Arabidopsis thaliana: one gene and its partners. The protein of the gene in region 2 interacts with the protein of the main gene of each other region in a pairwise test. Each region holds a gene or a part of one and is shown on either strand. Other genes may lie near its edges. The genes, in order: SYP131, AT2G07749 and RHA1.

Evidence for each region.
Region 1: the proteins of AT2G07749 (region 2) and SYP131 interact in a protein complementation assay, tested with the Arabidopsis thaliana proteins (one large-scale study listed by BioGRID).
Region 3: the proteins of AT2G07749 (region 2) and RHA1 interact in a protein complementation assay, tested with the Arabidopsis thaliana proteins (one large-scale study listed by BioGRID).

Annotation. Positions count from the first base shown.
Region 1 is NC_003074.8:963,634-974,439, reverse strand, and holds SYP131 (syntaxin of plants 131), read right to left. Parts: upstream 5,391-10,806; 5' UTR 5,251-5,390; intron 5,203-5,250; exon of another isoform or gene 5,158-5,202; 5' UTR 5,127-5,157; coding exon 5,109-5,126; intron 4,722-5,108; coding exon 4,617-4,721; intron 4,531-4,616; coding exon 4,425-4,530; intron 4,325-4,424; coding exon 4,236-4,324; intron 4,148-4,235; coding exon 4,074-4,147; intron 3,993-4,073; coding exon 3,950-3,992; intron 3,875-3,949; coding exon 3,814-3,874; intron 3,716-3,813; coding exon 3,690-3,715; intron 3,612-3,689; coding exon 3,534-3,611; intron 3,460-3,533; coding exon 3,379-3,459; intron 3,303-3,378; coding exon 3,237-3,302; intron 3,154-3,236; coding exon 2,980-3,153; 3' UTR 2,749-2,979; downstream 1-2,748. Other genes in the region: EDA30 (O-fucosyltransferase family protein), read left to right, coding at 17-129, 416-506, 652-780, 1,053-1,606, 1,821-2,250; AT3G03790 (ankyrin repeat family protein / regulator of chromosome condensation (RCC1) family protein), read right to left, coding at 6,429-6,503, 6,604-6,807, 6,924-7,466, 7,575-8,231, 8,364-8,861, 8,959-9,171, 9,322-9,611, 9,803-9,942 and 2 more.
Region 2 is NC_003071.7:3,241,431-3,251,737, forward strand, and holds AT2G07749 (Mitovirus RNA-dependent RNA polymerase), read left to right. Parts: upstream 1-5,803; coding exon 5,804-6,544; 3' UTR 6,545-7,927; downstream 7,928-10,307. Other genes in the region: AT2G07773 (cytochrome B/B6 protein), read right to left, coding at 1-229; AT2G07655 (uncharacterized protein), read left to right, coding at 3,893-4,054, 4,129-4,553, 4,683-4,773; AT2G07776 (uncharacterized protein), read right to left, coding at 4,607-4,936; AT2G07777 (ATP synthase 9 mitochondrial), read right to left, coding at 9,327-10,115.
Region 3 is NC_003076.8:18,239,770-18,250,027, reverse strand, and holds RHA1 (Ras small GTP-binding family protein), read right to left. Parts: upstream 5,766-10,258; 5' UTR 5,534-5,765; coding exon of another isoform or gene 5,495-5,533; 5' UTR 5,360-5,494; coding exon 5,297-5,359; intron 5,179-5,296; coding exon 5,101-5,178; intron 5,005-5,100; coding exon 4,837-5,004; intron 4,706-4,836; coding exon 4,657-4,705; intron 4,550-4,656; coding exon 4,476-4,549; intron 4,261-4,475; coding exon 4,167-4,260; intron 4,069-4,166; coding exon 3,968-4,068; 3' UTR 3,578-3,967; downstream 1-3,577. Other genes in the region: NRPC2 (nuclear RNA polymerase C2), read left to right, coding at 121-239, 327-462, 556-686, 1,055-1,180, 1,273-1,328, 1,568-1,638, 1,789-1,873, 2,048-2,151 and 2 more; AT5G45120 (Eukaryotic aspartyl protease family protein), read right to left, coding at 7,550-9,025. UniProt on the Arabidopsis thaliana protein: Involved in the trafficking of soluble cargo proteins from the prevacuolar compartment to the central vacuole. Involved in vacuolar transport of storage proteins with EREX as effector. Regulates membrane trafficking to protein storage vacuoles (PSVs).

The DNA of each region.
Region 1 (10,806 bases), on a different chromosome or scaffold from region 2:
GTTGTCTTGTTTTCAGTCAGCTTTGCCCGCTTCAATGCCTGAACTTCAAAGATTAAGGTGTAGAGTTGCCTTCCATGCCCTCCAGCTTCGTCCAGAAATTCAGGTGCTGGCCAAGGAGATGGTTGACAGGTATTTGTGATACTTGCAATTCAAAAATTCATTGAAGAATGGGACGAATACATGATATAGGATTACTAAGGGGGAGAAGAACATTAGATGCTAAGCTTTTCTTTCTTTGATAATGAAGTATATCTAGCTGAGAGCTATAATAATTAAGTTTAGGGGTTACCATTTTCTTAATTTAGATTGGGACTTGATGTAAATGTTAAGATTTTATGTGTCATGGTTTTGTCTATCTACCCCTAAAAACCGTGCATTCCTTACATAATTGAGGAAGATAATTTCCCTTTTCTAGGTTACGTAAATCAGGTCAACCTTTCCTAGCTTATCATCCTGGCTTAGTAAGGGAGAAATTGGCATATCATGGTTGTGCTGAGCTTTTCCAGGTAAAAGTTTTCAACCTTCTCAATCTGTATATTTTTGATAGAACAAACTGTTTATATCAGCTACGTTTTTTTCCTGTGTATCCTTTGTGATTGAGATACATGGGGAAGTAGTTTCTGACTCTACGCATTTTTTCAATCCTCAAAGGATATTCACAGTGAACTCATCCAATATCGGCGTGCTCAGATGATCAAGCAGAGGTTTATTTTAGAAGAACTTATTGTAGACTCGCGCTTGCGCAGGGATAATGGCTTATGTCCTCTCATGCCAGAAGAGGTACGGAGCTTCTCTCAAATAATGCTATATGGATGTATTATTATATCTCGGTACCCTTTGCTTGAATTCTTGGAGTTTACGACGAAGCTAATTTTTTTTTATTTATTTTTTTGTCAAGCAACGTAGCTAAATTTAAATTTTCTATGTTTGTATGTAATTCCCATGTGATACACTGTTTTCAAGCTCCAATTGGATTGCTTACTTACTTCTGTTCTGATGGAACTAAATTGGCTTTATGATGCCAAGAGTTAATTGGAATTGAAATTTTGCAGGTTGGAATTCTTTTGAAAGCATTGGGTTATTCTCAAAAAGCGATCATATACTTGGCTGGTTCTGAAATATTTGGCGGCCAACGGGTTTTGATCCCTCTACGTGCCATGTTCCCTAATTTAGTGGATCGGACTTCTTTATGCAGCACGGAGGAATTATCAGAATTGGTTGGTCCTGAGACACCTCTTCCAGAGAATACATATAAAATGCCTCCTCGAAAAAGCGATAAGCAGCTCAAGGAAGAGTGGAACAAGGCAGGTCCTCGACCTCGACCTCTACCTCCTCCTCCAGACAGACCTATCTACCAGCACGAAAAAGAAGGATGGTATGGTTGGCTTACAGAGAATGACACAGAACCAAGCCCTTCGCCTATGGATCTTAGGAATCAAGCACACAGGTTACTGTGGGATGCCCTTGATTTTGCTGTTTCTGTAGAAGCTGATGTGTTCTTCCCTGGGTTCAACAACGATGGTAGTGGATGGCCAGATTTTTCAAGTTTGGTGATGGGTCAAAGGCTCTATGAAAGACCCTCTTCACGAACATATAGACTGGACAGGTAAGCAGAATTATTGATAAAAAATTACTTACTGCATCTACCGTCCTTCCTCATAGTTAGGTTGATTGCACACCTTTTATGCCGATAATCTTCTTATTCTTTTGGGTTCATTGATCCGTAATTTTAGCTGATACATGCATCTTATGAGTTACTAGCTTTTACAAAATTTCTCTTTTGCAAAATTCATTAACTGTTCACTGATTTGCTCAAACAGGAAAGTTATTCAAGAACTTTTCAACATTACTCGTGAGGACATGTACCATCCCAACCGTAACTGGACACTTCGTGTGAGGAAACATCTTAACTCAAGTTTGGGTGAAAGTGGGCTTATCAGGCAGTCTATGTTGTCGAAACCTAGGTCGTTCCTTTCGCATCCACTTCCTGAATGCTCATGCAGAACCTCAGCCCTTGAGGATTCCAGGCAAATACAGAGTGATGATGGTAGATTTCTCTATGGAGGTGAGGATGAATGCCCTAAATGGATAAAATCAGCGGGAGTGGAAAAGAGTAAAACTGATGATGGTGATCAGCCTGATTATGACCATGACCTTCTCGCTGAACAGTCAGAAACTGAAGAAGAATTTGCAAAAAGTAAGGTAGCTTCAGCTTTTGACCAAGATGAAGAGTGGGATCCTAATGACTAGCGTGACTACTATGCAAATTCTGCTGTGAGGTGTTATTTGATTTTACCCAGATTCTTTCAGGAAAGGCGAAGAAGCAAACATACAGAGGTTTTTTTTATTGTTTTTTACAGTTCCCGGCTTTTTTTCCCTTTCTGAGAATAAGCTTTTAGTATTATTCTTTTGTTAGTAGCTCCTTGCAAGTTAGTTGCATACTCTTTATACGTCAGACCTTCTCAAAGATATCGGTATTGCCTCCGGACGCCCTTATGCATCGAAGGACGGACAACTGATGCAGCAAAGGATGTCCGTTATGCTTCATCCTTCTCTGAGGGCTTCCCTTGAAGCAAATTTGAAGCTGGAGGTATCTTTTGCTCTTCTTTTTCTCATCATTGTAAATCTGATTAAAGGTTCATATTCAGATTCTTTATCCCTTTTTCTCCAATAGTTTTTTTCTGGATTTGTTTTGACACACTACAGATAAAAGATAAAGGTATATTTCAACAGAATTTTAATATAAACTTGCTGTGTCCTGATTCATATTCATATTCATATTCATATTCGTTGGGCCGAGATTGTTCACTGAAATGGTATTCGACTTTGGCCTCTGTAAAATAGTTGATTCATTGATCCGATCAAAAGAATACATCATTTTTATAGTGATAGTGTAAGGTCAATAGTACTTGATGCGATGATACACGTATATACTGTTGTATACAGAAGCCTCAGAAGCAGGGCAGAGAGAATAGAACCTTAGGCACCATTTTTCTGTGTCCATGGTTTGAGAACAGAGATGACAGTAATGATAATAATGATAAGAAGGATAAGGATGGCAATGCACATCCATTTCCTTGAACTTTTCTGGCTTTTTACTGCCTTTGTTAGTTGATTGTTTCCGGATTGAACATGATCCACAGCACTTGAGACCTGTTAGAACAGAAACAGAGTAAGAAAGGATTTTGAAGAGATCTAAGCTCAGGGATTTAAACAGGTACTGAAGAGATTGTTACCATATTCTCTATGTTGTCTAACATCTCTCCCTGTGCATCCACCAGCACGGCCATATCGAGAAACACCTAACCGGAAACATAAAAGAGAAGAATCAATGATGAGAATTCTTGAGAGTTTTTGGTGAATCGGATCGAGGTTTACCTGTTGCAGGTCAAGGAGTTTCTTCTCTAAATCTCTGACAGCGTCATGGCGTTCCTGAATCTCAGCCAGTGTGTCCATTATCTGCACAGAACCAGTAGAAAAGCATGTTATAGTTGTCGTGTTGCACAGATGAGTGCCGGAACATAGATACCAACCTGTCCTCGTCCTTGCTCCCTGATTGCTTTCTGGAAAATTTGCTCACTGTCTCCAGTTTCAATCAATCTATCAACTGTCTACACACCCGAAAATTAACAATCATGAACTAATTCAATAGGGTATTAATCAATTAAATCGGAGTTATAAGAACTTGCCTCTTCATCAGCTCGTTGGCCAGTCACTAACCATTGTCAAGAATCAGAACAACAAAAATACAATTAGCTCTTAAACGATCATTAATGGAACAGGTGAATCTTCAGACAGATTCTCAATTCAAACCTGTAAACACACGCCTCTCTACAACTTCTCTGTATTCTTGTTGAATGTTTTGTCTTAGAGTCTGCAGGTGACAAAGATAAGAGCTTAGGACAACTTTCTTAGAGAACATTTTCTTTTCAGAATTTGCTAAACTTACTTGGAATTCAGATATCTTGTCCTTAAATTTCTTCTTCACCGCACTGCCGAAGAAAAAAGCGTCAAGGAAGACTGAAAGATACTTGTATATAGACAATCTTGAGTTTTAATAGGCTAAAACTCACATAGTTGTGGCTGTTCTTGTTCTGTCTACACCTGTTCCTTTCCCACAACCCGGTTTAGTCCGGTTCTCCAGATTCTGAAGATATCAATCCAAGTCTTAAACAAAAGATGACCAGATCATAGAAACAGATGCAACAAACAATGTATTCATCTCTAAGCCTAACCTCTCGGTCCAGTTCCTCGATCTTTCCTTTGATGAAACGAGAAATTCTTCCCACTTCATCAACATCTCTCTCCATCCTTTGCTTGATTGCTGCGGAACAAAAAACAAAGAGAAACCAAATTTCAGTTCATCTAAATCTTCCATCATGAACTTGTTTCTGTGGTCTAAAATCGAACTCGTTTTGGATTACATTTCATTGCAGGAGCCTTGGTGACGGCTTTAGTCTCCTCATGTGCCCCCTGAAGCTTGTTGAGATGCTTGTCAAGCTTCTCATATTGCTTTTCGATTTCCTGGACCTAAACAATTGATATGATGATCTCAATAGTCATACACATATGTAGCACTGATTGAGAAGAGTTGCAGAGGGATACAAAAGCTTTACCTTTTTGAAGAAACCAGAGAGCCCGAGATCTCCAGAGTTACCAGGGCCATGTCCTGACTCAATATCGCTTCTATTAGAGCGATCCCTGGAGAACTCTAACGAACCCTGTCCAATCAAAACATCTGTCACATCATCTTAGAAACTTACAAGCTTCACAACGTTTGATCTTTGATTTATCCCACTAAATCCAACATAAACCTCCAGATTTATTTGATCATTTTACTTCTATAAACGATTTTTTGAATCTCACAGGAGCATTCTTCATCATGGATTTTCTCGGAATAAATGCCGAACTAAAGAAACGTCAATTCTGAGAAACCTTGTATACCAAGCGAATTTAAACCCCAAGATTCGGAGTTTCTAATTTCAAAATTTAGAGAGAAATTAATAAAGATACACGAAAAGGTTGTTTGGATTAGAGCAGAAATCTCCTTGATCACGTAATGTCAAAGCGAAACAGAGAAAATGTGTGAAGAAAAAGATAAGACAAACCTTTAAGAGGTCGTTCATTGTCGGAGAGAACGGGAACAGAGCAAAAGATCTATAAAAGCATCAGGAAACTTGTCAAACAATTAACAAAATTTTGGCAAAATCAATGAAAAAGAAAATGGCCACAATTAGAAGATAAACAAACCTGGTTTTGTAATAAACCCAGATCTCTTTTGTTCTCTTCCTTCTTTTTGTTTTTGTTTTTTTGGTTATCCTATAAAAATCAATAGAAGAGACAAGGGAGCTTCGTCACCGTATAAAGCAGAGCACAAATGTGAGATTGTTAGGCACGTAAGGTTCGAGTCAACGGTTAAGATTTCATTTGAAATTCTATGCTCTTTATAAAACAACAAAAAAGAGAGGTAAATTTCGTTGTTAACAGATTACTAATCAAATCTTTAGTCAAACTCTTATTTTGGGACAGTATCTTTACAATGAGACTCAAACCAAACAACAGTCAGTAGCTGGTTTCGACGCTTTCTTGCTACACAAGAAAAAAACTAATATTACATATAGGGACCATTAGGTCAATTACAGTCATCTACAAAACCAATGTGTAAAATAGTTAAGTCCGTCTCAGATTCTACTTGTTCAAAGGTATCTATCTCCTTTAGCTCTCAAGAAAACCAGAAAAAAAGCACTAATCAGCGCCTCATTGGCTTCATTCAGTAAAAATTCAAGAGATTCAGAAAGATCTATCCGATCAATCAAAGATTTCAATTAACTGTAGAAAAACAAGACACGTGGTAAGGGAAACTTAAGAAATTTGATAATATTAATGTTAATGTTAATATTACGGGCCGCAAGCTAGTACTTCACCAGCTTAGCCTTTGGGCCGGATTCATATAACCCAGAAAAGGCCCATTCGTTTGGTTTTATATTAAGAAAATGCCCAATTTTGGGTTGGGTTGTGTTAACAAAAGGCCCTATTCTCGTTTGGGTTGTGTTTGTTTTTTGTCTGTTAATTATATCCAATCTAACCGATCCGATTTAACCGGACTTAAATCAAAATCCGAAATTGCCGTTATCCGTTTTGAAATCTCAGGAAGATTGATGATTGATTTGCACAAGAGAGTACTCTGCTTCTGTGTCTTTATATCTTCTTAGGAAACAGTTACACTTTACACCTTCTACATTTCTGACTTTGTTAAGTCAATGTTTTAGATTACACAAGGGAATATTACTGAAATAAATCATATAAGCTTTTTCTTATTATTACGAAATATATACATCTAAAATGGTTTGTGAAGACTACTAAAGAGCTTCATGTACACCAGTGATGTACATAAGCATGAGTATTACTTTGACAGCTACTACCAAAGACTAACACATTGAAAGAAAGAGAAAAAAAATGGCTGACCAGTTAAGAGGAGACCCAATGAACAGTGGAGACATCATCTGTACAGTTACAACTACAACACTTTTGAGTTTTGAGAATGAGAGCTCTTGAAAAGTAATGTCTCATTCACTCACATCATCAAGGCTGGTTTCTGACTACCTTCACGCTACTGTAGAAGCGGCGGAGATCCTTCATGGCTTTTTCTTCTATCTGGATTGATCGGATTGCTGATGGAGCATCTATCTCTGGTTTGAACCAGCGATTAGTTCCAGGCGAATCTGATGGAGATCCTTGCCCGGTTGCGACTGTGAAGCCTGATGTTTTTGTCTTTGGACTGTGGGACAGAGACTGTTGCTTCTTCACCTGCATTAGACAAGACAAAGACACCGAAAGAAAAATGAGCTTTAAAACATAAACTATGATGCAACAAGATAATCTTGTCTACGGTATCAGTATTCTTCAAACAGAGGACAACGTACCTCCTGCATCTGGATATCTCTGAGAGAAGGTCGAGACAGTTTACGCGGAGTTTCAGAGGAAGCCCAAGGAGGAGTTCCTTTTTCCACATCAGATTGCTGCAAACTTTTGGCTGGTTCCATCGGAATCGGCTTCGAAGTCAAGAAGGAACTCAGTAATATCTTTCCTTCACTTTTACCAGGAGAATCATCCCCTGACTGATTTTTAGTAGTCCTAACAGGTTCATGAGAGCGGGTCTTGCTTTGTTCATCTTGAATATCCCGCAGGGAAGATAATCCTTTAGAAATCTTAGCCCCACCCCACACAGGACCTTCAATCTTAGGCCTTGGTGGAGGAGCAACAACAGGTTTAGGGACATCATCAAGAGCACCAGTCAAGAACATGGAAAGCCCACCCTTTCTGTTCTTCTTCTTGTTTGCTGCCGTTGCAAGTTTCTTGCTTCTCGGCGAATCGGGTGGATTATCTTTCTTTTGCGAGAGTGAGACAAAGTCTGATTCTTTGGGGAACCCACTAATCATCGTCGTATCCAACATGGTTTTGCCACCCTAGTAGAATAAATACAAAGCAAAAATAATTCAACTGACGCAGATGGATAATATGATCAAGTGTTAACAAAGGACATTTCATCATGAAAAACCAGTACCCAAACTAACCTTTGGCTTGATAGCTTCACAGATTTCTTCAATTTCTTTGTCTTGCATCGTATCTATTTCCACTTTAACTTCACCAAATTCAGGGAATGTCTCAACTTGTACAAATCTCTGATTACCCTTTTTCTTCTTTTTTCCCTTCTTGTTGGCCTTTCCTTCTAGCGGTAAAGCTGTTGTTGCTTTTGCCTCTGGAAACTCTTCCACAGGAATACCAAGTTCTACCAGTGAACTTTCGATATCTAGTTTCTTTTGAAGTTTTGCTATTTGCTGACCATCAAGAAGTTGTCCTCTCGATTGTTTTGCTTCAAGTATCTCAATTTGTTGCAACTTTTTCCTCAAAGCTCGGACTTCTTTGGAATTGTGTTGAGTCAGCTCATCTTCTGGTTGCAAGAATGAATCCATTCGAGTACCACCAATACTGGAAAAGTGTTTCACATGGCTGTCACGAGTTCTTAGAATGTCGCTCTCACTTTCCTCCTCTTCACTGTCAATAACAACAGGAAATGTGGCTGTTGGGGTTGGAAGTGGTCGGGAGCTCCATGTTTCAGATGATCTGTCATCCAGTAATTTCTCAAGATTGGCAAGAACATCAGGTGATGTATTTGCAATAGATTGGGGAGAAAATGTCAAAATAAAGTCAAGGTTTCGAATCACAATGTCCTGCAGGGAGAACACACGTGTAAGGTAATCATCAGCCACAACATAGAAAGAGAACACTGAACATAAACTTCTCTAAGTTTTGTATCTCTACGGTTTAGTGTGCAATCATCACATAGGGAAGGTTTGCATTACCTCACAGTACTTCTTAAGATCCTCTGCTCCAAGCGAATCCGCAATTTCAAGCAATTGAATAGCATTTCGTGGCTCTACAATACACTCCGCGGCCACCTTCTCGCATAAACTTTTCAAGCTAGGCACTATCCTCTCCTTAGGATTATCGTATTGCACGGATTGCAACACGTTCACGGATTCCACATCGTCAAACATAAAACCCTCATCCAGTTCTTCATTTTCTTCTTCCCTACATTTATCAGCTTGCAGTGTCTGAGACTTCTTAAGCACAATAGGAGCATATGCAGGATGATACAGAGAACCAACAACCAGAAGATGAGTTTCGCCAACAGCAACTGTGGTTGCCCTTTTCAAGTTGTGGAGGCGAGAAAGAGATGGTGCAATATCTTTACCATTCTTCCCATCCCACATGTAAACTTCACCTGTACTAGTAACAGCAGATGCCCAGTATTTACCCGCTGAAATGCTCACAACTGTTTTACCGTGCAGCGAATGCAACTGCAGGAATCAGGATTAACCAAATTTTGGTTATTACTATGCGAGACATATTGAGTTATATGTTTTTTTAAGATAAAAAAAGAAGGTTGAATCCAACCTGTTGGCATCTAAGATTGGAGTCAGAGGAAACCCAATAAAAGAATGCACCATCTTCTGCTAGAGCCAAGCTGTGTACCATTCCCGCAGCTATTGCAGTCAATCGAAGAGGTCTCCTTCGATGAAAATTCAATAGTGTGTTCCCAGCTTTCTTTAAATTCCGGGAAATGATAACACGTCTTGGAGTCACCAGCCGATGACCCCAGGTGTACACCTGGTCACAGAAGAAAGAAAGAAATACTGAAGAAAAATAAATTTTTATCCAAATTGAGTTCTCATACTCTAGTTCATACATTCTATAAACTTTACACACTGAAATAATAGTATTAAAACGTTTAACTTAACATGTAGTAAGAAATTTTACCTCTCCATCATTTCGCAGCACTAGAGTGTGATATTTTGAAGATGCAATAGCCGTGAACACTTTTCCTTTCAAGTAATCAACCAATCTGGGAGAGTAGTTTGATGCTGAGTTGGAGGTTCCATAACCAAGCTGACCTTCCTTGTTGCATCCCCAAGTGAAAACTTCACCGCAGTCAGAAACTACGGCGGTGTGTTTGTTTGCTGCAGAAACAGCTACAATCTTCGCCTTCAATGAAGTCACTTTGCGGGGTGTTGCCTGAGTATCCACAGAGGTATAACCAAGCTGACCCTCTACAAGAGCATCACAAACAACATCAGACTCTAAGATAAAAGACCACGAGGTGACCCAAATAGATTGAATATATTTCCATCTAATTCAGATTAACTAAGAAACTGGGCTTAGAGGTCGAAACTAAAACTTGAGTATACTATAGCACTAAAGATCCATTCCTGAAATATAGGAAGCCGTTTAAGTGTTTTACCTCTATTGGAACCCCATGTGTACACATCCCCGCCTTCTGTAGCAATAACAGTGTGGTGCTTAGCTGCCGCAACTGCTTTTACACGGCGAGATCCTAAACCAGATATCACCTGGCGGGGAGTAATCACTGCAGCTTGACCACTGAGATAGCAAACCAGAAAAATAAACTCAATTGTGGTTTATATAAACTTACGAAAAGCCTATGGTAAGCTACAAAAAAAACTACCAACCTATGATTCTATGTACGCTTAGAATAGAAGACTGTTTTTATCTTTCAATGTTCCATCAGAAATCAAGCAAGGTAAATTTTGAAACCACAGTAACGCCATAGGCAAGTAGAAATCTTCATATAGACGCAACAAACTAGACCATGAAAACTTTGTCGGAATAAAAGCAATTAAGCTCCTCCTCCAGTCACCATATCAGTGAATTTACAACAATGCATACCTATGAATGTCAAATTCAGGATGTCCAAGGCGGCCACCCCTTCCAAATCCCCACGTGTAGACTTCTCCATGAGTACTAATGGCAACACTATGAAACTTTGCAGCGGAGACCAACTTAATAAAACAACCATGCAGTGAATCAACTCTCCCTGGTACCTTCTGAACATGTTGATTGCCAGTTCCAAGTTGGTAGTTTGCACCATTTCCCCAGCTGAAAACCTCTGTAGCCACTGAAAAGAAAAATGAAGCCAACATTTCAGCTTCTCAAAAGTTGCGTAAGAAAAAGTGTCAAGACTGATTAAGGTTCTCCTTAAAGATCAAAGAGAAAATATTAGTTACCCGAACTTTGTTGCTCGCCAATAACCTGAGCCACTGGACCTGAGACCAAATCAACCGGTGTTCGCAGTTTTATGTCTTCTAGAGTAAAAGAAGCACCTGAGTCAATCAATACGCTAGCTACCGCGAGATGGCCAAAATGCAAAGCTCGGTGAAGACTACTCCAACCAGATTCTCCATCCTGAAATGGACATTGTACAATATAGAGCAAGCTCAATTTTCC
Region 2 (10,307 bases):
CATAAAACCAAATCAGTTGCCATTTTTTGGAAAGTTTGTTTATAATAGGAAGCGAACAAAAGGAATCTAAAAGGACTTTTATGCTGCAAAAGACTGGGATGGGAAACAAAACAGAATGTACAAAACGGATAATACGTGTAACCAGCAAACCAAAGACCAAAACTTCAGTACGGTCCGTGCGCCGTTTTTCTTCTCTACCATGACGAATCAATTGATTAAACGTGGGCATTATTCTCTTTCCTTTCTTTTTCCCCCCATTTTGTGCCCTATCACTTTACTCCCGATCCGAAGCACCCCTTTTCCATTCATATAGAAATCCAATCGTCAAAATAAATAAAAAGAGTCCATCATGGACCAAAATCTGCCCGAGACAAAGCTGAGCTGTCAAATAAGACCAACAAGGGATAAGATAGGGAGGCTCCTCTAAAGCTGGAACCTCTTCCAACCCCAGCACGGCTCTTCCCCGTCGACTCCTCGTACGCGTATCACAGGGGCAAACACGCCTTCAAAACATCTGGATCATACAAACTTCTCATTCAGTGGAAAAAACCTTACCAAGACTAGTTGCCTCAACGAATTGATATGCTTTTGCTTTTTGTGACACCGGCGCGAATGCTGAATACGGAGGAATACAATGAAATCAGAACAAAGCAGGTAGACCAAGCTAGCTTACAGAATTCGAGGAATTCAAACTCAGAATAAGCTCTTTTATTAGCACGTTTGGTAGCCAGAAAGGAAAGAGGTTCTCATTCACAGTGCCTTCTCCTTCTGTGATCACTGATCAAAAGGACATTCATTCAGTAAGGGATTGATCCTCAAAGTGGTTCTTTTAGCACAATGAATTACTTATCTTATAATGAATTACTTATCTTATATAGTAGTGTAACCTTCTCTTCGTACAAAAAAGCCTATTCTGAAAGCCGTCTTTCAATGCCTGTACCCTAGGGCGAGCTAGGTTCAAGGGTACGCACCTAGTAGCTGCGAGCCTAAGATTAAAGGCAAGTTCCCTTGGTTCGGCACGCTTTCACTCAGTATGATAGGCTACGGTCAGATTCGCTCGGTCTAGGTATCACCTTGATGCGCGTAGTTATTGCCTTGATCCCTTTCCTTTGCTCGGGTCATTCCATTGCCTAAAAAAGTGAGCCTGGATCTTCGGAGAAAGGATTTTAGAGCTCTGTGGAGAAAGTCTTGAAATATTGGATGCTTTCTTTCGTGGTTAGGCGGGCATGGCATCAACTCTGTATAGGTGGGTTGGCCCGGCCGGCCAAAGCTAGATATAGATCGGTTGGCACTGGATCTGCTGGATAGAGGTAGCGGCACAGACAGCTACGGATGGATAGAATTACGTCAGCTTGTCGGGTCAGTAGATATGCCCAGGATCCATTTTGACTAGAAATGAAATGGTACAGAGAAGCGCAGTGAGCGGTAGCAACCATTGACTACTCGGGCCGGGCCTTGCAGCCAGAAAATGGGACTCGATCAGCTCAGCCCATTGACTCTTTTATGGGGAACTATTAGAGACCTAGGAAAGTCAAGATGCCACCGGGGCGTAGAAAGAAAAAGGCTTCTTCGGCATGATAGCTCTGCTCTGTCGGATAATATGAGCCCCTTATGGAACAGCTCACTCCGGGGTGATTCTGGTTTAGTCATAGAATACAGTAAATCCATGCGTTTGTCTTCGCCTTTTCGGAAGACCAAGACAGCTAGACGATAGATTAACCAAAGCCATAAAGAGAAGATCGATATCGCACAGAAATCCTGGATCTATCAAAAAAGCCCGCCAAAGGTGTCCTCACATGAAATCATGAAAAGGATCCGAGCCCATCAAAGACTCTACTACATGAAAGGATCTGAATCTATCCAAATAGCTGTGGCCCATGATCCAAGGGACCCGCAACCAGTCAATCATGCTATCCTTACCTTCCAACCAATCGGAAAAAATTACGTTCAATTCAGGATCGAATACATCTTTGGCTTATGAGTTATGCGTTTTCTCTTCTTGGCACTTTATGTCTGCTAGTGCATAATCATGCTTATGGAAATAGTGGAGGTTGAGCAGTTTCCCTGATGAAGAGAACTCTCCTTCTCTAAACAAGCTTGCCTGTGGGCGTCGAGTAAGAGCATCTGGGAATTGATCTTTTACGAGACAGCCCGGAGTTGGTCTCGTGGCTAGGTCTTTAACCGAACCGGTTCGGAATAGAAAGTCTCGGTCAATGAAGTGGAGTGGGCTGAAACAGAAAGTTGGGTATTGTATTTTTATGCTCGCTTGGCCGGAATCCCCTATAGTGCTTTTCGGGCGAAGTGACGGATTACTTTTTGAGTGACTACCCTCAGTCTTTCAGAGCCTCGGGATAAGCTGTTCTTGTTTCATAAGCAAATGTGGCAACCTGGTGGTATAGTGAGCTCTCTCTCTGGATTAAGCTTCGGTCATTGATAGAGAGGAATCACCTAGCCTAGCATTAGACTCGACTAGCTAGCCTTCCTTGGGCGGATTGCTTTGAATAGCGTAGTTTTCTTAGCTCCGGGGACTGCCTTATCTACACTATGAGAAATGTTAGATGCAACCATTATAGTATAGATATATTCTTAGATGATTACTATATGTGATTTCTTTCATACAGTCTTAACAAATATAGAGATCTTCACCATAGGAGACTAGCTTGAACTAAATCCTCCAACCTTAAAGCAGTATGAGAGAGGACGGATACCAGAAAGAATCACCTCGGAGCCGCTATGCCACTATGAGAAACGTTATACTATAGATAGACATGAGATGATATTCTATAAGGAATACAATGTTTGAAAAGCAAGAATAGATAGAGTTGAAAGAAAGGCGCTCGTATAGAGCCCTCGACTATGTATCGGACATATGGCAGGTTGGGAAAGCGCGCTTGGAAAAGAAAGACTATCCTCGAGGTAAATGTAAATCAATCTATCTCGCATTGCCCAATCTGAATGCTAAAGGCTCGTAACCCCCTAAAAGGAAACTCACCACCAAAAGAAAAAGGTAGGTTAACTAACGAAACTCAAAACTACATTTTAATTCTTGCTCACCGATAATCCTTTATAAAAAATATTATACAGCTGTATACAGGATTATTGGTATAGCTGTCCACTAGCCGAAAATCGGACACCAAATTATTGTAGACTGACGACCTGTCCTTAATAGAACCGATCTGACTCTCTGAACAATCGGAATTTCGTACTTCTGTCGGATCCTCCCTATCTCCTGATCGAGCTTGTGTAGGTAGATGTTGCCTGGTAGGGCCGATAGTAGTACACTGTGTGGGACGGAGTAAGGGCCCCTCTCAACTCCTACGAGTCGTCCGGCGGAAAAGACTTTCTGAATGGAGTAAAAGAACTTGGGATCGTCGATCTCTTCCTTCAAAATTTGGATGAGTCGATGTCGGTCGATGGTGTGAAAACACTTCCTGATGTCGAATTCTAAAAACCAGCGAGAGATTCCCCACTCTTCTTTGATCCGTCTTAGGACCGAGTGGCAGCCTTGACCCGAGCGGAAATGCGATGTGTCTGGAAACTCGGGATCGTAAATGGATTCGAGTACCATTCTGATCGCCTCTTTCATGATCTTTTCTATAGGTAGAACTACTGTGAGCGGTCTAAACTTCAACCCTTCTTTCTTTCTTCATATTGTAAAGGGGGGAAAAGCTCGTTTTTTGCTCCCCTTTTTTATAATCAAAGGCCCCCTCCTGCCGTCGTTTCAGTGACTCATAGGGCTTCCCTCAGTTCAGTCTTTTTGGTTCTTGAAAATGGTCGCCACCTCTCCTCTTCTTTCAGTCGATGGGGTTCCTCTCCTTTTAGTCGAGTAATCAATACCTCTCCCAGGACCGGAATGATTATCCCTGCCCGATGGGTCTACATCCATCCCTGAATGTCGTCGGGTACTGTTCACTTCCCCGCCATTCTTGTAACCGTCACCTGTAATCCGCGCGGGTGTGTCCGCACCCCCCTGAGTGGACGAGAAAGAAAGGATTTCTCGGAGCAACCCCCCAGGTTCCAGACCCAGGAGTCAACTTTCCCGTATGAGCATTCGGTACATGTATCAGTCCGTGGGAAGAGGTGAAAGGGTCACCACTACTGAGGATCTCCCCCCCCCCCTAATCTTAGATAGGTCGTCTGAGGGTTCGCCGCGGTTCATTGCTGTGCTTACACACAAGGCTACCCTTCTCCGAAAGCTACGCGGGACCACCTACCACTAGTCTTCGGCCGGAGGGGTTTATTGCACAAAAACGGCCGGGACGCAGGCTCCCGAAGAGGGAAGCCCAACGAATGTCAGATGCAAAGTTCCGCACCTCATTAAGATCATATTGGCATACTCTCCCAAAAAAAAAAGAGCAGACCCCATTGAAGACGAGAGTAAGGTACAACAAGGCCATTTCTGTCCACCGCCCTTCTCACGGAACCGTACGTGGACGTTACCGCTCATACAGCTCCCAGCCAGCAAGCACAGTTAGCCTTCCTCTACAAGAAATGGAAATGTGGATGAATCGAATGAAATCGAGGAATTCGGTTTTTCTTTTCAGACATGATAAGTAAGAGCATCCCTTTCACAAAAACCTACGGATCCCCCTCCTATCCTGCCACTTCAGCACCTTGTGATCTTTGAGAAGATCATTACGAGCCCTTTCCTAGAATGTTTTTGTAGATTCCGAAAATTCCAGAGTGGATCAGGACGAGAATGAATCCGGGAATCCAGGGCATACTCATCCTGGAGCTTCCGCTCTCCTCTGGGAAGGGCTTTTTTATGGATAGAGAGATGAGTCGAGGGATTGATTACTCGACTAAAAGGAGAGGGTAGCCTCCCGTTTGACCGATTTCTCGGAGTCGGAAGAAGATCTCTCATCTGATGACCCTGAACAAGAAGGAGCTGCTCTCGATGTGAGATCAGCAGCAAAAGAAAGAAGAAAAGGGCCATGATGATGATCCTATGTTCGTTTTCGCCCTGCCCCTATGATGCGCTCCTAGCTCGCAGAGCATAAGTCAGCGCAAAGGAGAGATACATCCTTTAAGACTGTGAAGAGAATCCTTGGTTTGACCTACGGACTACGTGGGAAATACGAGATCTAGGCAAGCCGCTACATGTTCTCCCCCTTGCCCTTGAACGATAGAAGAACTACTTATCTTCTCTTAGATAGCAGTCGATCGGTTCTATGATCTATGGTCAATCAATAGGCCCACGGATCTATTCTTCTATACGATAAATTGCCATCTCGTAGCACCACAGCCTGGGGGTAAGACTAGAAGAGGAGATTTGCTTGGTCTTCTGTGCGGAATCTGCTTCCTAATCAGTGTAGCTCTTGGGTCAGCTCACAGCTAGGACGTCATCAGTTCTAAAGGATTCCTCACTAGGGAGACTCTCTCCTTATGGGCAAGGGAGGCAGATTTTGATGGGGAGAAGGATTCGGAATATAGTTACATAAGTCCCCTTCCCTCTCCTCAATATAGTTTCACTCGAGTCACGTCAGTACCTCTCCTTTTAGTCGCTCGTCGAGACCTCATCAACTAGTTAATACCTCCGGACCTCTCCTTTATCAGTCGAGTTTGTGTTCACAACCTCTCGAGAAACAAGTTCGAGAGTTACGTACTTTCAATGCTCTCTCTATTCCTTGCTAATCAAGGCCTGCAAGGGAACTGGCTACGACTATAGGCGGGACGACATGCTTTTAGCTTCCCTGAAATAGGCGACTTGCTCGCTTTGGCAGGAAGTATTTTTTTTGAAGAATTGAACAAAAAAAACTGAAATTTCTGTAAATCATTAAAACGGGACTTTCTTTAAAGAAAAATGGTCTCTCAAGACGGTACCTTCCATCAAGAAGGTCCTATCCATCGTCTGGCAAAGAGACGCCCAAGATTTATAGCAAGTTTTGACTTGAGCGCTGCCACCGATCGGTGGCCCGTTCCAGTCATATATGAGCTTATGGCGTGCCTTTTCGGTCAAACGATGGCATCGTGCATTGTCAATGGTGCCTTAGCACTCAACTCATGCTCTTTGAAGTCCGTTACTGGACGGCATGACGAAGTTGTGTTTGTTGCAGGTCAACCTTTGGGTTATTACGGCTCCTGGGCTCTATTCGCGTTGTCCCACCATGCTATTGTGTGGTTGGCAGCATTACGAGCATATCCTCATCAGACGAGACCATTTCTCGACTACGCTTTGTTAGGTGATGACATCGTCATTGCCGATCGTAGTGTGGCTAAGGAGTACCGTTCTCTACTTGATGCTTTGCAAGTAGATATATCTGATGCCAAGTCTATTGTATCTGAGACGGGTTGTCTTGAGTTCGCCAAGCGGTTCTGGGTTAAGATAATGTCGAAGGACTTATCCCCAGTATCTGCGAAAGCTGTGCTTGAGAGCTACTTCCTCGTTGGTACTCAGCAGTTGGCCTATAAGTACAAGTTAAGTCCTAAGACTTGTTTAAGGTTAAATAAAGCTGGATACCGCGTGCTAGGACAAATGGACACTACACTAAGGCCCTATCCCGGCGTTTTAGTCGGATTCAGGCGTTATCTAGTAAGCTTTTAGTCGGTCCTGATCGGTTACCACTCGAGTGGTGGATTGGAAGAGGATTACCTCTCAGTCCCTATCTTCGTGGTGTGTTAATTGCAAGGATTCGGGATGGGATGAAGCTTAAGCAGCTCACGCCCCCTCCCTTGGAGATGTTCCTTTGTGGAGAGCCAGAAGCACATATCGCAGAAAACACCGCTTATAGACATTGTATGAACAATGGTGTGAGTACGTGGTATGGTTTGACTTCGTTCCTCGTCGTGCCCCTTCCCACCTAGGAAGAGATACTAACCCGCAGCTGCACTTGGTGCAATCACAGCAGAAAACCCTTCTCCTAGACATTCCTCGGGGGCAGACCACACCACCTCGGAAACAAACAAACAGCACATGCAGCAACAGAGACAGGCGTTCATCGCTCACTTACCTGCATACATCATGACAACTTGTTCCCATCTCACCATGCAGAGGCGCGTAGCGAGTAACAATCCGGTCCATGTGCTGGCTTGGCATGGAAGGCAACCCTTTCTTTTTCGCAGCGCTACGCGCCTCCACATTCAGTGAAGAGATCCCGGACAGGGAAGTCAGAAGGGCAGTTACTCTTCGGACCTAGCGGCCCTGCTTTAGCTGCACTTGGTGGTTCCCCGCTCGGGATTTTATACTGGATTTTTCTTTTAGGGTTAGTGCAAGGTTGGCTTGTGCGAAGTCGACAGGGGTGGTTGAGAAACACGTTTTATTGGGATGGGGCAGCAGGCAATGGATACCGTTCCCCCACCAGAGCCTGCAGTTGGTAGGCCAAATCCCTCTGTCCAAGTGATTGAGTTGAAGCTTTTCAGAGAAAGGGTAATTTCTGAGTGAATCAAGAGAAGATGCTCTAAATGACCAGAATTAGGCGCCCTATCGCTACTTTGTTATCTAAGGTCCCACATCGATCACAAGGTTTTTTTTTCAACGTCTTTGATTATTTACTTTCACTTGCACTACTATGCTATGCTACCACGGGGAAGTTCTAAATGGCGAAAGAGAATCCTTTCAGTCCAGGCACTCAGTGCAGTCCAGACGCTCAGGAGAAGACGGAGGTTAGGAATGCTGATTGGAACCAATACGATTGCCCAGAGGAGCTTTATAGGTATCCAGAGTCCCGCACAAGGAGCAGTTGAGACAGATGCGGAAGAAGGTGCGGCCGAGACGGTTGATAGAGATGATCCGGCAGGCGGAGAGTTTGATTGCGACAGTCCAGCCTTTCATACGAGAAATGGCGGTGACCGTTTGCCCTAAACAAATATCTCAAGATGTAACACATATGCCTTCTCGTAGAGCACTCCCAGAAGCTACCCTGAAGCCTGATCGTGCTTGGAAAAGGCATTTCATTGACCGAACCCGACCCATCCCACCGAGAGTGCGAACTGCTCTTTATTCGCTTCATAGCTGGGCTTTGCATTGGAACCTCTGATTGAGCCCGCGGAGTCGCCTTACTGCTTGAGTGAGTAAGCCATTCAAGATTGTTGAGCTTGGCTCACTTCAGCTTCAGAGCTCTGGCTATTGCTTGCTTAGAGGAGGAAGCAGGCGTGTGGTGCTTCCCGCAATGAAGTGTCTTCCCTTAGATTCCTCTTTATACTCAAGAAGATTAGAAAAACACTCTGTGGAACTGCAAGTGGCGTATTGGAGACTGCACAGCAAGTGGCGTAGTGGAGTGAGCGAGCATCTTATTTGCCCGGATGGAATAGAGGTTTATCCTATTCTCTGTAAACAGAAAAGGAAGTTGTGCTCAATGACTGGAATAAGCTAGTACCATAGATTATTAGCTATGGACTACTCCTTAAGCTAGAGGAGACTTGTTTGTCTGGGATAAATTGTCATTCTAGACCCGATTGGAAAGATTGAATTGAAAGCAAGAACATAGACCTGACGAGAAAGACCCACATTTTGAATATTAACTTATGATAATCAAAGGGAGTCGTGGTTACGGGTAAGGTTAGGAAGGGCGGGAAGGACTTCCTTACTAGAAGAGGATGGTAAGCCATATGTGAAGCTGAGGCAAAGACATTTTATCTTGAAGATTTAGCGGAAATCAAAGTCTAAAGTGCCTTACTGTGCGAAAACGCATATTTTACTCTCTGGCCAAGTCTGGAGATAGACCAGGAAAGACATCTTCAAACCTGCCCGCTGACACTAGTACTGAAGACTTACTTGAAAGTGGTACTGGCTAGTGGACTGATGGAGCTGGAGAACGGAATAGACATCCATTAGTTCCCGAAGAAGGCAGGTTTGAGCAAGGAGGCTCAAGAGTAGCTTTTCCTCTTCCTCCCTTTCATAACACTCCTTCCCCGTCTTACTAGGCGTTAGGTCCTCCATTGCATTCTATTCTCCGGAGCCTACCAACTTGCCCACCTCTTAATCTCCGCCCGTTAACATATAAAAAATCAGACTCTTGTAGATTCGCCTCTTTCTTTCCGACTCGCTTCACGACTCTTTTAGTCTCGTTACGCTTAATAATCAAAATAAGCGGAAGCCAACTCTTGAAAATCTCAGGTTTACACTGCTAGATCAAATTCATACTGAAATGCATTACCCTACCTATCTAAAAAAAAGAGGGCCCTGGGGAGCATGCCACCCTCAACCCACAAACTCCCATTCTCCTCAGTCTCCCAGTATTGGAGACCTACTTACTACATCTCGACCGGGGGCCTCTCCAGTCTTTGCTTAACAACTTTTCTATAGAAGGATTCAATCCAGCCGCAGGTTCCCCTACGGCTACCTTGTTACGACTTCACCCCAGTCGAAGATCCCAGCACGGTATGCCTCAGTCGACGTAATGCCGGGCATTCACCTGATGGTTCCCCAAGCCCCTGAGCTCATCAATGAACGGATTCCACCTTTCACAGCGAGCTGTTCCGAAGTTGCGCCTGAGCACAGTGAAATGCCTCTTACGGTCATCTATAGCGTGCTCCCAGTCGTCATGTAGAGCCAACTGGAGAGCACGCTTGACATCCTCTGGATCCCCGAGAGTTACTCCACGTTGATGCAAGAGAATTTGGGCTTTCCGTACCATGGCCGCCTCCAAATTCGCGCAGGCGCTCGTGATAGTCTCTACCTCGGCAGAGATGCGGTCGTGCTCTTGTGCCCGAGCCTCCCTTTCCCAAGCCTGCTCCTCAGGAATCGGTTGATTGACCGACGAGGAGGTACGCCCGGAACTGGCCGAATCTTCGACCATATCGGATGTATACGTGAACCACTCAGACGAGGCCCCGTCTTGGTGATTCACTATCCCCCCCGATGAACCGGTAACTGAAAATGTGCCCATAAAGACAGTAAATACATCCGCGGAGAATTTACCAAAACCCGCCAAGATATGGCTACGTAGAAGAACGAGAAAGAGGGAGATTTGACAAACAAGGGCTAGATAGCACCATTGTGTCATCCTCTTTCCTAAATACTGCTTTAAGGATCTAAATAGGCAAATTGAAAAAACCAATAGAATCAAGAAGATTATAAGATTGAAACGGGAAACGCTTTCTGATCCTAGAAAACGTCCGAAAAAACCTGCTACGGAACTACTGAGCATGGACAAAAATACGATAAGTAGATACATAATTTAATTTCGAGTGTGATCAAAAACCTAAAATCAGACAATTACAGAGCGGCCAGTGATTGAGTGATAGATTTCTCGACGTCCGGAGAACGCTCGACCGAAGAAATGAGTAACTAACAAGGAAGATTTTGTTCCCCAACTTGCTTGATTAACGGGCATTTTCGGGGACTAGCCCGCTTCTTCATTAAAAAA
Region 3 (10,258 bases), on a different chromosome or scaffold from region 2:
AAGCGTTTTCCTTCTCTTTGTTCCATTTTGGTGTTTATTTTTTATTTACTTAACTGTGGCCTTTCCGTCTGCTGATACATGTTGAATACGTTTTCATGTTAATTATTTTTTCTTTTCAAGATACTGGATGATGATGGATTAGCTACTCCAGGGGAGATTATCAGACCGAATGATATTTATATAAATAAACAAGTCCCTGTGGACACAGTAACTAAGTTTACATCTGCGTTATCTGATAGGTATTCAGTTAACTTTTCAAAGTATATGACCATAATTGTTTCTTAAAACTGTAATCACCAATGTACAATTCGTTGTGTAATTTTCAGTCAATACCGTCCGGCCAGAGAGTATTTCAAAGGTCCTGAAGGGGAGACGCAAGTGGTCGATAGAGTTGCTCTCTGTTCTGATAAGAAAGGCCAGTTGTGCATCAAATATATCATACGCCATACTCGTCGACCAGAGGTGAGAAATTTTTTCTTCAGTACTGTTATGCTTCTAGCCCTAGCCCTCATGTTCTACAGTGTTAATCATGTCTTGGTCTGGCTTTTTTTTCAGCTTGGCGACAAATTCAGCAGTAGGCATGGGCAGAAAGGTGTATGTGGTATAATTATTCAGCAAGAAGATTTTCCATTTTCTGAGCTTGGAATTTGCCCTGATTTGATCATGAATCCTCATGGGTTTCCAAGGTTAGAAAATATTCCTCATAAGATTTTTCTCTATTTATCTGTGCATGTAGCCTTATTATATTATAACGTGGATTAAAAAAAAAAAAAACATCCTTCATTGTGCGAGTGTGTGGGTGGGTGTATTTGGAGACTTTTGTGTGGAGGTTTTGCTTCATCACGTTGCCTTAACTATAAGAATCTTTTCGATGTAACAAACAACAATGGATTTCCAGTTGGCATAAAATCTTAAATCTGTTTTGGTAGCTAACTTGAAGCAACAGTTAGCTTCATCCCTTCGTTCCAAAGCTTTCGAGTTTCATCTGAAGTTCTTGATTACTTGAGATTTTGTATTAAAACTGACGAATGTATTAACATATTTCTTGTCACAGTCGTATGACTGTAGGTAAGATGATAGAACTCCTTGGAAGTAAGGCTGGGGTTTCTTGTGGTAGATTTCATTATGGTAGTGCTTTTGGAGAAAGAAGTGGTCATGCTGACAAGGTTGAGACTATAAGGTACTCTTTTCTCTCTTATATATAAAAGTTCTTCCATATATAAACTTTTGTTTTGGCATTTAATGTCACCGTATGCTCTTCAATCATTTCAGTGCGACCCTTGTGGAAAAAGGGTTTTCATACAGTGGGAAGGACTTGTTATACTCAGGTACTGCATTATGATTCTGTACACATTTCAAAATGTGCAGTTATATGTTAAAGTGCATTCTAGTGTCTGTTGTTTATTTCTTTGAATACAGAGTTGTTTAGGATCTACACTAAAATGGGCCAAGACATTATCATTTTACATTGTTAACACCCGGACATACTCATTCTTATTCCAAAGCTATATAAGGGTTCATGATTCTTTATTTGTACATCAACCTGACGACCTTGAGAGTTTTTCAGGTATCAGTGGCGAGCCAGTGGAAGCGTACATCTTTATGGGGCCAATATATTACCAGAAATTGAAACACATGGTGAGGTTCCTCTTAACTTATTTGAACCATCTTCTACTGTTTTGTAATCACACAAAAAAAAAAAAAAAAAATTCTAAATATCAGAGTACAGTAACATTTTTTCTGAAAATGTAAAGAGAAATTCTCGTTTTTGTACATATGTTAAAATAGGTTCTGGACAAGATGCATGCGCGAGGGAGTGGACCACGTGTTATGATGACAAGACAGCCTACTGAAGGGAAATCTAAGAATGGAGGTATGTGCCTCTTGCTTCTGTATCTTCTTCACTCTGGACTTTCTATTTCTGTATTTCTTGATTTAGGAAATAATTTAGAATTCCATTTTACTCTTGTTACGTTATTGTTCTGTTTTCTACTAATATAGTAAGGTTTTTGTCAACTTCTCAATTGTATCTTTAATGCTGTTGCAGGTTTAAGAGTGGGAGAAATGGAAAGAGATTGTCTAATTGCTTATGGAGCCAGCATGTTGATCTACGAGCGGCTCATGATATCTAGTGATCCTTTCGAAGTTCAGGTAATTAAATCATAATGCACTGTTTTGAATTATGACAAACCTTGTGAGAAATGATTGCAATTTTGTGATACACTGTTTAAACGTTTGAATGCAGGTTTGCAGAGCTTGTGGTTTGTTGGGTTATTACAATTACAAGCTTAAGAAAGCAGTTTGTACAACATGTAAAAATGGCGATAACATTGCTACTATGAAACTCCCATACGCATGCAAGCTACTATTCCAGGTAAAAACCATTGGTCTATTCTTCAAATTGAAACTCTCTACTTCGTCCCATTTGGAAAATGATAAAATAATTCTGATCTCTGGATATAAATTTCTTCCTAAAATAAGTAAGAATCACTGATGTTTTCGGTTTTACTGGTTTGTTTCTCTGTTATTTCTTAATCGTTGTGCGCATTACGTGGTAACAGGAACTCCAGTCGATGAATGTTGTTCCGCGTCTGAAACTCACAGAGGCTTGATCTCAGAGAAATGTTATCAAACTGTTTTCAACTTGGATGATTGTATTTTATACGACTTCGGTTGCTTTTGGTTTGAAATTTGGTGCCTCTGTCAAAGTCCTCGAGGTTGGATCATATTTGTTTTGTTCTCATTTGTTGTACTGAAACCTTGGAATAAAATAGAATGAAAAATGTTTTTAACTTTTCGTAGAAAGAATATCAGCTGGCTTGTTACCATCTCTTTACCCAATTGAACTGTATCTCTTCAAATTTGTTCTTCCAAAATCTGACTTCATGGGTCCTTTAATATGCACCAAATTAAAGTTTTAGTCTTGTACCATTGATTAGTGCAACCAAGACTCTAACATCTCCGTCAAAGCAGACCTTTTTTGTATTAAATTAGTATTACGTTTTTTTGTCACAATTGTGTTTTATTCATAATACAGAGCCAATATGATAGGTCAATATTTCACAAATACTGAAACAAACAAGTCCAACTAAAGGAAAAGCTTGTTGTACACAACATATAAAACATGTTGCAAATGGGAAACAGGTTTGGAAGACACGTGGGAAGTGGAAGGGATGGGAGTCTCCGATCACCCACAGATCGTTGTGACGTCTTTGAGACGTTGGAAAGTTTCAATTCCGGCCAAAATTTGTTCAATCGGCAGATCTCAATCTTGGCCCAAAGATACAAAGGCGAAATTCATATTTTAGCTTTGACGAGAATATGACTCCACTTTATTCAAATTTGTGAATCTTCTTCTTCAAACAACAGCTTTTCAATCTTCAAGTTGCAGTTCATCAATTGGAAATCGAAAGCTTTGACAAGAATATCATTCCACTTAATTCATAGCCGGACGAAGATGCTATCGAAGTGAGACCAAAGTCATTGGAGAAGAACGCCGGCAAAATCTGAACGGAAAAACTTCTTTCTCTTTGAAAGATGAAAGAAGAGAAGGGAGAGAGAAGCAATGCCACTTTTTTTTTTCAAAGGTGTTTCTTTTATTGATATATACATTCATATTACAGCATTCCAACAATGGAAAAAACATTTTGGAGATTTAAGTAATACAAAAGATAATAAGCCTATAAATCTGAGCATTCACTTAAAACATAAACGAAAGATAAGCACATTTTTTTCGGACTAAGTTTTGTTTTCTAATTACAAAAGAGATATATATATATAAATCTCTCCAAATACAAATATCTTCAGATTTCACAAAGGCAGAATAAGTATCATCATGATATACACTGTTGTTGTTGTCAATGCAAGCAAAGTAAAGTAACAAAGACGAAGAAGAAGCAAACACATGAAAGTCCAGATGTTCTCTACTATGTGACTAACCAAATGAGATCTCTCTTCAGGTACGAATCTAAGCACAACACGATGAACTCACTGCCGTAGCCCCTGGCCCGTTTGGGAGAACCATTCCTGTCGGGTTTTCAGCTGGCTGTACACGTGGTAGCCTTTTCGCTGTAGCGGTTTGAACAAGAGAAACAAAAGTGAAAAAGGGATTTAATTGAAAACAACTAATTGTTGGAAATAGCTTTCTTGATGAAAGAATGACTCACCTATTTCGTAGAATATGTCTTTGACATTTGTTGCGGTCTTCGCTGAGGTTTCCATAAAGAAAAGGCTGTTCTCTTGAGCATATATCTCTGCCTCCTGTAAATAACAATATCAAGAACTACTTAACAACACAACTCAGTAATGAAAAAAACAAGTCGGTAGGTGATGTAATAGAAGATTTCACAGGCACCAGTCGAATCTCATCCCCGAGTGTTAGTTAACATTTTCTCCCGGTACTTTCGAATTTCATCAAGATTTTTGGCATTAGCAAAGCAAAATCAGACAGCAAAAGAAAGAAAGATTTAGTTTACCTCTGCAGACACCTTCCTTGCGTCTAATAAATCAGCTTTGTTTCCAGCAAGAGCCATCACCATATTAGGGTTACCTATTCACATGATCCACATTAACATATAATGATACCAAATAAACCACACCAACTATCAGAAAGTAGGAATCATAAACTAGCTAAAACCAAAGTCAGCTATTCCATACCTTGTGCCTGCAGTTCCTGAACCCATTTCTTCGCCCTCTCAAATGAGGCCTGTGGCAATAGAAAAACAAAAATTAAGCAAACCTAACTTTGCAGAGAGCCTTAAACTGCCACTAAAGTCCACTGATATTCTGTAAGTCAGTGCATTCGTGACTAAAAACACAAGGATCGTGAGTTCGTACTTGATTAGTAATGTCAAAGACAATAATAGCAGCAGCTGCACCCCTGTAGTACATTGGAGCCAAACTGTGGTATCGTTCCTGACCAGCTGTATCCCATATCTCAAACTTCACAGTCGCATCATTCACAGCCAATGTTTGAGAGAAAAAAGCTGCACCAATGGTTGATTCCTACAACAAAACGAGTATCAAAAAGTCAAGAATCAACCACAGGAACGAGAAGAAAACCTCTATCAAGATCACAGGAGGAAAATGCCACCAACCAACCTGAAATTCAACAAACTGATCTTTCACAAACCGTAGCACAAGACTTGATTTTCCAGCTCCAACATCTCCTAGTAATACCTGAAGCGCTTAACCAAGTTAACCACCAAAAACAAAATAAAGGGGGAAAAAAACAGATTTTTCTTCTGACTCGTTAGAACCCTAAAACAAAACTACCAGATCGAATAAAATCTATAACCTTTACTCCAAACCCTAGTTTTATACTGATAAACCATGCGATTTCTAATTCGATCACAATCATCCAATTTCAGATCAGAGAATTTGGTTGAAAATTCCCCAAATTGGAAACAGAACTAACTCATCGAAATCAACGATCTAATCAAAATTGACGATCATCCTTCAAAGGATAAGCAAAATCCAGAAGAATTAAACTGACCAATTTGGCGTTGATGTTCTTGTTTCCAGAGCTAGCCATGATTGACTGATTGATTGATCTGAAACAGTATTTGAAGCTCGAGAAACTTCTGCTAAAATAGAAACAAAATTGAAGATGGAACCACGCGTTGACAATCGTAAGACGGAGAAGAGAGACCGAAGAAGCTTCCGTCAACAAACAACCAAATTTCTCTCTTTGTATCTCTCTCTCTCTCTCTCTTGAAGACGAAAGCAAAAAAACAGAGAAGAAAGAAACAACTTTTTTATACGGCTCGTGAATATGACAAGAGGAGACTTATAACTAAAAAAACCACAAGATTATCGAAATTACGATAAATCCCTATATTTGTCTAAAATACTAAAAACGCCCCAAAAACAAAAATATGTTACACGCTGACCTTCATATATTGTAGACGATGTCTCTTAATAATAAAGTCGATAATTGTGTATAGTTTCGTTAGTATTTCATAGATTCTTTGTAAACCATGGTTAGTCTCCCTTTTTTCAACAAAATCCAAAAATTTTGGTGGTAGTGATGGGACAAAATGTACAACCATGTTCATTTCATAGTTAGCAATAACAACGAATAATAGCGATTACTATAAACTATAATGATTAAAAATAACGACTAAAACATGTTTTGTAATCTTTAGTCACAAGTTGTTAGTTATGTAGTCCTTGGTTCAAAAAAAATAACATTTTAAATTATGGATTAGTAGTAGTCAATTATTACTTATGATATTTGTCTTTATTAATAACAAATGAAATAAACACAAATATTGTCAATACAATAGAAGCATTGTGGCGAGTGTTTAGCCAAATCCTCAATAGTAGGTTGTTGTCTCACGCGTCAAAACTGGCCGTGTGATTTAATTTTGTCGGTCATGAAGTCGTATTGGACGGTTTAAGACGAGACTGTTTTACATGTTTTGGTACCTAACTCGAAGATACTATGAATCAAATTTCTTTGGTAGTCAAAAAGAAAAAAAACTTTCTGTGTAGTCGAACAAAATATCGCTATCTACACAAATGCTGAAATGCACGTTTTTCCATATGGGTTATGGGCTTTCATCAGTGGAGCCAATTATTTAGAATTGAAGACGAGAAATTAATTTTAACTTGTTTATTTTGAAGAACAAAATTGGATGACAAAACATTATGGATGTTCAGAATAGCTATAAGATGTTATTGCTAAGTACCATTTTTGAAGGATAGCTATAACATGTTAGTAAAAAAAACTTGTCTATAACTTATAATTATAGTGAAATGACGGAATAACTGAATAATTATTAGTGGAATGAATTGAACTGAATAAATTAGTTTAATGGATGAAAATATAGTTCTAGTGGATTAATCATGTTTTTTTCTAGGTATATTGACATGCTAGTAGCCTAGTAGTATACAGCCGAATTACTTTTCGAAAACGTGAAATCGAAAAAAATTTGATAAATATTTTGAATGTAAAAAAATAGCGTTTGAAAACGTGACTAAGCGATATACCATTCATCCTTATAGTAATTTTTTGCTTAGGGAGTTTTTTTTTAGAGGAATGTTCATTCTATTACATTTAACGTAAATGGTAAACTTTTGTCAAAATATTACAAATGTTTCATCCAATCATAATCTATCCATCTAGGCTCTAAATACACATCTATTTTCACGGGAACATCAAAAACGTTACACATGTATACTGTGTGTGTATGCATTAATTTGTGGTGTATAAACAAAGAAATTTTAACAGATCATGTTGTTTTGTCCCTTTGCACAACTGAAAGTCTAATACACCTCGTATTCCACGACGATTTGTTCCCAAGTTCCATCTTCCAACTCATTCTCTCTATATATAGTAAAGTCTCCACCTCAGGAATAATCATTAATCCAAAAGAAGAAAAGTAATTATAAAAAAAACATTACATAATCAAAAGAAAACTCCCACCATATACAAAGAGTCATCGAAACAGTTTAAACAACAACAAAACAAACATAAAAAAAAAAAAAAGATGAAGCCAAAACAATTCCGAAATCAACTCATAAGATTGATGACTTTTTTTTTTGTTCATGAGCCTTGGTTGAGTCCATGTGAAGCAGCTTCTAAGACACAATCCATAGCTTGGAAGCCAATTCTCTCTTTCTCCAAATCATACACAACTTTCACATTCTGCTGCTGAAAGCTCCCAAAAACTCCGGCCGGTCCGTAGTCTCCATCTTCCATGTTCTGAAACAACAAGCATTGCACCACGGAACCATCGCTAGGGGCGCTCATTGCGTAAAAAGAGTTACCTTGCGGGAGAAGTAAGGTTGCATTGTTCAAGAAATGGAATGTAATTGAAGGAAATATCATCATTACATCGTTTTCGAGGCTAGTGAGATTGTTGTTAGGACACGGGACTTTGTAGCAGAGATCAAAGCCTGTTCTTGATTCAGTTTCAGTGGCTCTTGGGTATGTGATTGTTGATTGGAGAGTTGTGAGGAGTTGTGAGTAGAAAGGTTCGGGTAAATGTGTGTAAGTCGTACCCGAATCGACCAACATTCCTCCATTTCCTTGTGAATCAAATTGTCTTAAGGTTAAAGGAACTTGTGTGGGAGTGATATTTGTGCCTATTGTAATTGATTCTAAACCGATGTAGTAGCTGTTGGGATACATTGGAGTATTCAACATGGGAGTAAATTGCAAAGAGTCGGTTAGATTTATCGATAAAGCAGAGGCTCCTAGGATCAAAGGGCTAGAGATGTTAGGATTGTTGACAAACTTGAAAGGCAAGAAACAATGGGAAAATCCCTTTTCAAGAAAGCCTAGTTGCGAAGGGAGAGAGAGTAAACCTCTTCCAAATCCAGCAATGCCAATAGGTTCCCGGTAAGTGGACGTTACGCAGCCAAAAGAAAACCTTGGAACATCCCTAGTTCGAGCCTTCAGTATATCCCTGGTTAGTATCCCAGAGATAAGACCACCTTCACCATAAGTATAAGCAAAGGAAGGACAAGGCCTTACGCAAGTAGACTTGAGAAGCATACTCACAGAGCAGCCGGCGACTGCACAAGGGTCAAAAGGATTGTCTGAGCTATGGATCTCGACGCAAAAGGAACTAGCACAAGAATCTCTAAAAGATGTAGATGAATGAAGAGGAGAAAAGACCGATGGTGATTTTAGATCGTTGTTCTTGAGATCATAACATTCAATGCAATCAAAACTTAGATTCCCACATGGGACCCATGTGAGATCACTTCCTGTGTCCAAGTACACTTGAACTGCTTGTGGAGGTGTTCCAATGTTTAAGGTTATCAAATAACCATCTCTCACTTCTCTCAAGGGTTCCATTACAACATCTACTGATGATAATGGCTTCTTGATCCTTTCTTGGGTTTGAGACTTTGGTGTGGGAAGAGAAACACTTGATTTGGTCAAGGTAAGGACAAGAAAGGAAGATGAGGAGGAACTAGGGTTTTTATGTTGTCTTGCTTGGGTTTTGTTGGTGGTGTTTAACAATAGAGTGATGAGTAGGAAGAGAAACAAAACGTGTGTTTGGGTTTCCATCGCTTAGCTTACAAAGATAATGAAAAAGAAAACAAATGTAAAATGAAAGGTTTGATTTTGTATATGTTTAGTGTGAAGTTAGTTCCGGTATTTATAGACATGAACGAGGGTTTCAAAACTCTTATTCAAACAATTTTGCTGTGCTTTCTAATTAAGGAAGAAGAATTAGTATTTAAAAAATGTTGGTAAACTTTTTTACTTTTAATATATTTGATCGTTTTATAACCAATTCCTACTACACGGATACTACGACTTAGTGGAATCAAACACCTATGGAAAAAGCGAATCAAAAATGGAGTTAATTAACTATTTAACTAATGTTGGTAAACTAATTAAGCTTTATATGTACTTTTCCATGTGATATTTTAAGTTACGTCATTTTTCATAAAATGGACCGCACTTCATCAATCATCACTGGAATAAAGTTAATTTTGCGAACCTAAAACTTATTATGATAGTTTGATATTATGTGATTATATTTAGGATATTTTATGCAAGTTTGAATTTGGATGATAAGGAAATGACATAAACTAATACACACTAGTAAGTTATACGTTGTAGTGTAAAAAATAAAATTTTCGGAAATATATATTGCTTTTCTGTTTTAAAATATATGATATATTGGTCGAAAAACATATTATAAGTTTTTTTATCTTCAAAAACTATCACATTTTTTAATTTAAAAATGTAACCAATTATATAAAGAGTTGCAGAAAATTATATAGATAATATTATTTTCTTTATGACGTACCAATGAGTGCACCATAGATATTGTACTCAGTAGTATATCATTTTGCATGTTGTCCAATTAAAATGTATTTTTGTGGAGCTTCACACGTAAGCCGCTCCACCAAAAAATTTATATCTTAAAACCTTGTAAAAATTAGAAAAAAATGGTGGACCCAGTGCTTTAGCACTGCCAGCACTGCCTCTAAGCCGGGCCTGAATGGATATTATATAAAATACAAAAAACGAAAATGCTAGTTTTGAATGGAAACCTCGTATTGATACTGTGTAAAGTATATTACTTTTGATAATTACTAATCACAAACGTGACATAAATTATTATTTTTAGATATTTCGTATAGTTTTCATGTACTATATTTTTTACAATTAGAAGTTATATGTTAAATCTTATCAACGTAATAATTTTTTATGCTCAAAACATTGTTTAGTTTTTTTTTTAATTTACTAGAACAACACCTCCAATCAGTTCAATTTAACTCAACTATT